Linked DNA regions of Caenorhabditis elegans. The protein of the gene in region 2 purifies or fractionates together with the protein of the main gene of each other region. This does not show direct contact. Each region holds a gene or a part of one and is shown on either strand. Other genes may lie near its edges.

Region 1 (3,860 bases), about 12 Mb from region 2:
TTGCAACCCTGCGGCACGGTTTTTTCTCCATTTTTCTCAATAAAATTTCGATTTTACTTGTTTTTCTCTTTTTTTTTCGAATAAAATTCTATCGAAAAAAGATAATAAAACATGTAAAATCGAAAGTTTTTTTTTAATCAATTTCAAAAAAGCAGTGGAAAAACCGTGCCGCAGGGTTGCAAAATTACGCGCCGCCTCTTTTTCTGTGCGATGCTGCTTTTTTTTTTTGCAAAATCTCACATTTTTTCGTTGATTACGGTACTTTTGTAGCCGATATCGACGTTTAATGCACCGTGAATTTTGCAAAAAAGGAGTATCGCACAGAAAAAGAGGCGGAGCTTATTTTGCAATCCTGCGGCACGGTTTTTTAGCTGCTTTTTTAAAATTGAATGTTTTAAAATAAAATTTTTGATTTTTCCTCTTTTTAGAATAAAATTCTATCGAAAAAAGATAATAAAATATGTGAAATCGAAATTTTATTGAAAAAAAAAATCAATTTCAAAAAAGCAGTGGAAAAAAACCGTGCCGCAGGGTTGCGAAATTACGCTCCACCTCTTTTTCTGTGCGATGTTGATTTTTTTTTGCAAAATCTCACATTTTTCGTTGATTATGGTACTTTTATAGCCGATATCGACTTTAAATGCACCATGAATTTTGCAAAAATCAGCTTCGCCGCACAGAAAAAGAGGCGGAGCGTAATTTCGCAACCCTGCGGCACGGTTTTTCTACAGCTTTTTTAAATTGTTTTTTTTAAATAAAATTTTTATTTTTCTTGTTTTTCTCTTTTTTTCGATTAAAATTTTATCGAAAAAGGGTAATAAAACATGTAAAATCGAAATTTTAATTTTAAAAAATCAATTTTAAAAAAAAACACTAAAAAACTGTGCCGCAGGGTTGCGAAATTACGCCCCGCCTCTTTTTCTGTGCGATGCTGTTTTTTTTTGCAAAATAAAGGACAAAAATTAGCAGAGTCTGACGAAAATCAAACGGAGAAATCGATAATTTTTGGGGATTTTGGCTAAATTATGCAATTTTTTCGAATTTTTTCGAATTCCCGGTCTGAAATTCGGGCTTTTAGGCTTTTGCCAAATAACGTACAAGCTGCGAAGATCTTATAATACGCAGAATGAGCCGGCACCAATCCAATAAACGGAATCATGTAGTTCAGAGCAAAAAAGACGGTCAAAACTCGTGCGGCGAATAGCACACACTCCATTGTGTTCGCCGAAACGTATTGCTGGAAAATTATTGATTTTTAGTTGGAAAAAACTGCAAAAATTCTCACTGAAATCGAGGAATAAGCTGGCGGTGGTGGTGGTGGTGGGGCACTCGAAGATCCAGAAGATCCAGCTCCGGTGGATGAAGATTGATGATCATCGGGTTCTTCGACAATTTCGACCATTTTTGTGAAGTTTTTCTGCAAAAAAATCTGTGAAATTGGGAAAAAAGGAAAAAATTGAGGTTAGGAGACGTGGATTAGCCCAAAAATTGCGTAGAATGTTCCGGAATCATCGATTTTTTTCTGTTTTAAACAAAAATTAAGGCAACGCATATTGAAAATCAAAAGAAAACACCAGCGGTTTCTATGGAAATCAATTAACGAGTATGTGGAGCCGCAGAGCACACATTCTCGATAATACTTGAGAACGACCGCAAACACTTTGACGGCACGTTGCACAGAAAATATTTTTGTGATTTTTTACTTTATTTACTCATAATAATCGTTTTAAACTGCTTTTATCGGATATAAATTCATAAATTTGAAGAAAAACTGCAGAATTTCTCTAGCTAGAAATAAAAAATAAAATTAATTGTCGTCAAGTTGTGCGCATTGTACGCAAGCAGCGTGACGTCAGATTGCACAGTTTTCTTTTTTATATAAAAAATTTAATTTAATCTTTTTTAAAATCAAATTTCCGCTATTCAAATAGATTTTAAGAGCTTATTTTAAAATAAATTAAAATTTCCTGAATTTCAGAATGCTAAAACTCGCTTCATCCCTCAGAACTGGTCTTATAAGCCGAAGCATCCGAACATTAGCGCCAACAGTGAACCCGGCCGAGCAACAGCAAGTTCAAGCAGTTTTACCCGACAAACTGTACAGCTCAGTTGAAATCGAGTATCGTGGGCACGACAAGGCGGTTTTGAAGTCATATACGTCGTTTTTGCAGGTATTTGAACGTTTTTCAGGTCTTTTTGATTTTAAATTGCATTTTTCATTTATTTTCAGCAAGTCTGCCAACACCTGGAGATTCCTCAAGGTCGTCTCGAAGTTCTTCCGTATATTCGATGGGTTCAGCCGGCTCTGCGCTCGAAATTCGTCCATAAAAAATATAAATTGCATTATGAGACGAGAACACACATTTCTAAACTTGAGGTTGGAAAATAATTAAACGCCTATGGGGTCACAATAACCGAATATCATGATAAAAAAATTCAAAAAAATTTTCTAGATTTTATATGATTTTTTGAAAATTAGAAAAATCTCAGTTTTCCCCCTAATTCCTAATTGAATTTCCGCCAATTGGATTCGTTCGGTGGAGCGCACTTGCTATATTTTCATTAATTTATTTTATTTTTTCTCATTCTTTCACTGATTTTCTTCAATATTTGCGTATTTTTATCGGAAAAAGAGAGAAAAATGCAAGATAAAATCAAATTGTTCATTAAAAATCACTGAAAATGGGTAAAACTCTAAAATTATGAGTTCTGGAGACAACAAGCTAGCTTGAAATTAGCATATTTTACAGTTTTACCCATTTTCAGTATTTTTTTTTTATGAAGAATTTGCATTTTTCTCTCTTTTTCCGATAAAAAACCACAAATATTGAAGAAAATCAGTGAAATAATGAGAAAAAATAAAATAAAATCAATAAAAATAGAGCAAGTGCGCTCCACCGAACAAGTTCAATTAGCGGTAATTTAAATAGGAATTAGGGGAAGGGAAGAAAGAGATTTTTTCAATTTTCAAAAAATCATATAAAGTCAGGAACATTTTTTTGAATTTTTTTATCATGATATTCGGTCTCTGTGACCCCAAAGGCGTGTTTTCACCTTAAATTTTTTTTTCCAGATCCTCAACGTGACTGGCTCCACAGCTTCAACATTCCTCGAATACATCCAACGAAACATCCCAGAAGGCGTCGGAATGCGTGTCGGATTCACCGAACTTCAACCACTACCGCTGACAATTCAGAAAAATTGATTTATAACCAAATTCTAGTGTGTAGATCCTTATTGTTATTTCGTTTTTTTTTCCTTCTTCAAATTGTTTACTTTTAATGAAATAATAAAGGTGGACCTCTCACCTGATTGGTCGGAAAGTGGGCGAAGCAATTCGCTGGTTGGTCGGCCAAAATTTAGCCAAAATTGAAAAAAAGGTGTTTTTTTTCTGTGGAATTTCTGAATTTTTAGGATTTTCCAAAAAAAATCCGAATTTTTTGATTTTTTAACAATTTTCAAAAAAAAACTGCTTTTTAGGCCCCGCCCACTTCTTGGAGATAGGTTATTTTGGAAAATAAATTCCAAAAAAAACACTGAAAATTTCCGAATGCCCAAGAAGTGGGCGGAGCCTAAAAATAAATTTTTTTGGATTTTTTTATTTTTCAAAAAAAAACGGCTTATTAGGCCCCGCCCACTTCCTGGAGATATCTGTTTTTCTGGAAAGGAAAAAAATTCCAAAAAAATCACTTGAAATTTCCGGATATCCAGGAAGTGGGCGGAGCCTAAAAATAAATTTTTTTGAAAATTTCCAGTAGATCTTTGTTGTTGCATTTTTCTCTATATTTTCAAATTGTGTTTGCTTTTATTAAATATATAAAATGAGACCAAAAAACATGGCAAAACAAGTGAAAAAGATC
Region 2 (5,901 bases):
ATTAATCTGTCAAGTCGACAAATTTTCGGCTAATCGGCTAATTCAGAAAATATTCATCTGGTTAAGTTTTTAACGTTAGTTTTGTTAGGTTATTCAGAATTTTGGTTTTACTGTTATTTAGCAAATTCGGTGATGAACGACTGTTCAAATAGAAAAAGTCATAAAAATTCACAAAAAAAGTTTTAGCGGAATTAACCGAAATAGACAAGCGACTAATTCGCCTGACATTTGCCTAAAATTGGCTAACGTCAACTCAGCAAAACTGACAATATGTCGGTACATGGCTAATTGGGCCAAGTCAAAATAGCAAATTTTTTAAATCGGCAATTTTTTAGTTTTTATGAATCAAAAAAAAGTTAAAAAACTTGAAACCAACACCGACAGACTTGCCAATATTTGTGCTGCTGCGAGCATCTTTGAATGCTCACCTTTAGCTCAGTTCTGGAATTTTGCAGTTGAAAATTTGCATTTCACCGTTTCAAATAAACCCAATTAAGGATATTGAAAATAATTTCCAGATGGACCTGTCGTAATGTGTGTCAAGGACTGAGACGCGCTGTTGATGGATTTGGAATTCATTTTGACACAATTGTATTGAGTATACACGACAGTGGCATTTGTATAACACTGGACAACAACACTATAGATTACGATCAACTGTTAAATGATGAAGGTACATCTGTGGTTTACAAGAAACAGGAAAAGATATTCAAAAAACAAAACTACGTAAAAGTAGCGGTAAAGGACTTTGGAATACTATTGCGTTACGCATCGAAATTACATATAAGTTCTGTTCACACATGCTACAAGACCGATATGTATTTTACTGCAAAACATCTTCTAAGGACTTTAACAGCCAAAAAATGGAATCACGTCGAGAAACTAGAATTTTGGAAAGTACCCCTTGATTTTGTACTTTCTATTCTTCCACACTTCAAATCTCAAGGACTGGAAAGTATAATACTGTGGAATACTTACTTATGGGATGATACAAGTGAGTTTCTCCGAATATCTCGTCGCAATATTTACAATTTTCCATTAGATAATCTATTTGAACAAATCACTAAATTGGATCAATGGAAAAACACGAAGAATTTCCGTTTTGATAATTATGAGCTAGAATGCCCACCCTTCGAACACCTGTTCCACTTCCAAACGTTTAAAATTCACATACTCAAATTTTCAGTAGAAAATGCTATTCAATTCAGAGATGTGAGTATTTTTTGTAGTAGTGATATTTTGTTAAAAAATCAAATCAATTTCAGGACCTACTAAAGAGAAAGACATTCGAAAAGTGCGCGGTCAAAATTGGTATTACAAATGAATCTGTTGATCCATCTGAACTTTCAAGAGTATTTAAGTCGGATTATAATGGTGAGAGTGATTTTGAATATTCAAACGATTTGGGCAGATTTGCAATTTACTGTCAGTGTAGTCGATTGTTCATAAAGAGATGTTAATAAAAAAATGTTTATTATTTCGAACTTTTATTTACATTGTTTAACACATTAAACTTAATATAATTCGATTGCTGTTAAACTTTTATCCTGAAAAAATTTGAAAGGTATACCAAAACCTTGAAACCATATACATAAGTATTTGTTCAGTCAAAATCGAAACTTCCATAGAAAAAGGAAAGGTATTCAGAAAAAAAAAACGATATAAAAATTCATGTTTACAAATATTTGCTGTTTCTTGAATTCAAAAAGTTTTATACTCAAGTTTCATTTTTTCGTACTAAAATGTCCGACCAACAGGCTGATCTGACAGAAAAAAGAGGAAAAGCTTTGGACATGTGGATTGAGATGAAATGTATTCGGCTTATGAGTGGGTAAGTAAGTTGAGAAGTTGTAGTGATACAATTTTACTAGTGATAAATATATATTTTAGTTTGACACCAGTTTACCCAACGCTTGTCGATTTGCCTTCAGAAATTATTGACCATGTTCTGGAGAAGCTGGAGCACATAGATCGGTGAGTGTAGTAAATTTGGCCAATTTCGGGTTTGTGGATTTGTCGGAACTTTTATCATCCGCTAACTTGCCGGTTTGCCGGTTTGCCGGAATTTTTTAATCCCGACAAATTGCCTGTTTGCCGGTTTGCAAATTCGCCGTAACTTTTCAATTCTGGAAATTCACCAATCTGCCGATTTGCTAGAAACTTTCAATTCCGGTAACTTGACGGTTTACCGAATTGCCGATTTGCCGGAAATTTTCAACTCCGGCAAATTGCCGATTTGGGGAACTTCTAAATCACGACAATTTGCCGATTTGCCGAATATTTTCAATTCCGGCAATTTACCAATTTGTCGGTAGTTTTTAATCCCGGGAAATAGCCAATTTGCCGGGTTCCCGGTTTGCTGGAAATTATAAATTCCGGCAATTTACCGATTTGCCGGAAAATTGCCGGTTTGTCGATTTGCCGAAAATTTTCATTCCCGGCAATTTGCCGATTTGTCGGAAGTTTAAATCCTGGCAAATTGCCGGTATGCCGATTTGCCGGAAATTTCCATTTTTGGAAATTTACCAATTTGCTGGAAAATTGTCAGTTTGCTGATTTGCCGGAAATCTCAATTCAGGCAATTTACCGACTTGCTGGCAAATTGCCGGTTTGCCGATTAGCCGGAAATGATCAATTCCGGCAATTTACCGATTTGCCGATTTGCCGGAACTTTTCAATCCCAGCAAATTGCCGGTTTTTCCGTTTGTCTGAAAGTTTTAATTCCGGCAATTTACCAATTTGCCGATTTGCCGGAACTGTTCAATCCCGGCAAATTGACGGTTTGTCGATTTGCCAGAAATTTTTAATTCCATCAAATTGCCGGTTTTTCCGTTTGTCTAAAAATTTTAATTACGGCAAATTCCCAATTTGCCGGAACTTTTCAATCACGGCAAATTGCCGCTTTGCCGCTTGCCGAATACCAATTTTCCGGAACTTTTTTGAGGGATTTTTTATAAAACGGAAAAACCGTGCATTTTCCAAATTTTTTGCCCGTTTTTTCTAGATTTTTCCTAGAATTTGCTTACTTTTTCAAAATAGATGTAGGAACATTTTTAGAATGCATACAATTTTGCCGATTAATATTAAAACTCTGAAGTTTCCGGAAAAAAGGGCAAAAACCACAGTTTGCCGATTTTCCGGAAAGTTCGGCAATTTGGCAATTTGTCACATTTCCGGTTTGTCAATTTGCCAAAAGTTATCAATTCAGGCAATTTGCCGATTTGACGGAAATTTTTATTTTATAAAAAATGTGCAAAAAATGTGAAAAAAATGAGCAAAAAACTGTAAAATTGTTCGATTATCAAAAAAAAAGCCAAAAAAATTTTGATGCATTTTTTTGCGCACTTTTGCACATTTTTTTGCACATTTTTGCTCATTTTTGCAAATTTTTCTTTCAATTTTTGCACATTTAAAATGTTTAGAAATTGTGTAAAAATTAATTCCAGGCTACCGTGCCGAAAAGTGTGCCGAAACTTGAGATACGCTGTTGATGAACTTGGGCTTCATTTTAAAGAGATTGAATTGCGACTGAGAAGCCAAGAAATTATCCTAAATTTGGATAATCATCAAGTTGGCTACTCGAACCTAGACGGTTGTTCTATAGTGACCCTTAACAAACTTGAACCTACTATCAGCTGCGAAAACTTCATGAAACTGGCCATCAAAGATCTGGAGCTCCTATCAAAGCATACATCAAGGCTTTGTCTTCGAAATGTCACTGGGAATAAAGACTATAATGTCCAAGCTCTGACCAACACCTTGGAAGCCCCTGTCCAAATGAAAAAAGTAATTTTTTGGAGCTTCTCGTTCAATGATTTGCTCTCAATTCTGCCGTATTTTAACGCAGAAGACATGGAATTTAATAATATTCACGCCACGAAAATTAAAATTGAAATGATTTCTCATCTGGAACAGTGGAAGCAGGCTAAGATTGTCTCATTTTCAAATTTTACCTTTGGTAGTCATCTGATCGAAAACTTTTTTCACTTTGAGAGGTTCACTATTAAAATGGAGGATTTCCCGTTGGAAAGTGCGATTAAGATTCGAGATGTAAGTTATTAACACATTTTATTATAATTACAAGTAGGCGCCAAAATGCCTGATGTGCCTGCCTTGCGCCGCGAGCCGCGCCTCTTGAAAAGTATGCAGCGAAACCCGAACAGTGTCGGCCGCGGCGAAAAACACATTTTTTCGCAATATGTGATGCAGGTGGTGCCGTTCGGAAACTTTTTTTGTCGACAAAATCGGCAAATGTGTAAATTGCCGATTTGCTGGAATTTTTAATTTTTGGCAAATTGCCGATTTGCCGGAATTTTTAATTTTTGGCAAATTGCCGATTTGCCGGAATTTTTAATTTTTGGCAAATATCTGATTTGCCATAATTATTGATTTTAGTCAAAATGCCGATTTGCCATAATTTTTGATTTTTGTCAAAATGCCGATTTGCCGGACATTTTCATTTTTGTCAAATTGCCGATTTGCCGGAAAATTTCATTTCCGGCAATGGGCTATTTTGTCGGAAACGTTCAGTTCCGGCAATGTGCCGATTTGCCGGAAAATTTCATTTCCGGCAGGTAGTCGATTTGCCGATTTGCCGGAATTTTTGGTTTTTGCCAAATTGCCGATTTGCCGGAATTTTTGATTTTTGCCAATTTGCCGATTTGCCGTTTTCCGAACAAAAAAAGCGGAAAATACAATTAGCAGAAAAATTTCGTCAAAGGCCGTTTTCCGGCAAATCGGAAATTTGCCGGCGGTTTCAATTCCGGCAGTTTTCCGGTTTGCCGGAAATTTCAATTCCGGCAGTTTGCCGCTTTGCCTTCCGGCAGATAGTCGATTTGCCGATTTGCCGGAAATTTTTATTTGCGCCAAATTGCCGATTTGCCGGAAATTTTGGTTTTTGCCGAATTTCCGATTTGCCTAAAATTTTAATTCCGGTAATTTGCCGATTTGCCGGAAGTTCCAGTTCCGACAATTTGCCCATTTTCCGTAAATTTTCAATTCCGGCGATTTGCCGATTTGCCGGAAATTTCAGCTCTGATAATAATAAGGTTTTTTTACAGAATCTAATGAAAAGAATAACATTTAACAGTTGCCTTATCGAATTCCATGGCGACAATCGACTTGAGCTTGCAAGAGTTTTCAAACCCGATTTTACTTTTGGAATTTGTAATTTTGATTATTTGAATGATAACGACACTTTTGGAATCAAGTGTACAAAACTGGAAACGCAGTATTTTCTATTTTCTATTGTGAGATTCCTTTGATGATTTTTTATGTTTTTCTAATTTATTAATAATTTGAATGTTACTCCGATTTTCGCCTAAAAATTTTTTACGTTCTTAACTTCACGTCAGACCAATAAAAATAGATTTTCGGGAAAAACGCGGAAGTTGGCACATTTTGAGCAGTGGCTCAAGAAACTTTCATTCGTCAGTGATTTTCATTGTGGGATAATGCTAGAGACATTTGGAAAAATAAGAAGATATCGGAATTAGACCACTCGTTGGGTTACATCGAAGCCTTTTTTTTCCCCAAAAATCAGGACCAACTGAAGCCACAAAATTTCGGTCTTACTATTAGAATACCGAATATCGAAAACTGGGGAAAATAATTTCGATGCCAGTTAACTTATTAACACAAAAAGCAATGTTTTTTGATCATTGTAACCTAGAAAGTTTAATAGTTTTTGGGAAAAATTGCGGAAGTAGGCACATCTTGAACAGTTGCTCGTTTCGCACAACCTTTGCCTTAACCCCAGAAAAGTTCCAGTCACGGTGACACTTTTAAAGTGTTTGTGAACAGTTGGCACTCCCAATGGCTTGAGAAATTTTCATTCGCGACGCTTTTTCGTGGTGAAAAAATTGAGAAACTTTGAAAAAGATATGAAGAGATCAGAAAATC

The links. The genes of interacting proteins can lie anywhere in the genome.
Region 1: the proteins of fbxa-5 (region 2) and mrps-10 fractionate together in Caenorhabditis elegans (co-fractionation; one large-scale study listed by BioGRID). This does not show direct contact.

The regions. Positions count from the first base shown.
Region 1 is NC_003281.10:12,924,581-12,928,440, forward strand, and holds mrps-10 (Small ribosomal subunit protein uS10m), read left to right. Parts: upstream 1-1,976; 5' UTR 1,977-1,979; coding exon 1,980-2,171; intron 2,172-2,230; coding exon 2,231-2,377; intron 2,378-3,073; coding exon 3,074-3,205; 3' UTR 3,206-3,306; downstream 3,307-3,860. Other genes in the region: npp-25 (Transmembrane protein 33 homolog), read right to left, coding at 1,099-1,237, 1,286-1,402. UniProt on the Caenorhabditis elegans protein: Ribosomal protein required for normal mitochondrial function and normal larval development. Thought to have a role in insulin/IGF signaling.
Region 2 is NC_003281.10:1,336,175-1,342,075, reverse strand, and holds fbxa-5 (F-box domain-containing protein), read left to right. Parts: upstream 1-1,735; 5' UTR 1,736-1,742; coding exon 1,743-1,831; intron 1,832-1,890; coding exon 1,891-1,974; intron 1,975-3,446; coding exon 3,447-4,050; intron 4,051-5,060; coding exon 5,061-5,264; 3' UTR 5,265-5,381; downstream 5,382-5,901. Other genes in the region: fbxa-26 (F-box domain-containing protein), read left to right, coding at 519-994, 1,043-1,212, 1,266-1,460.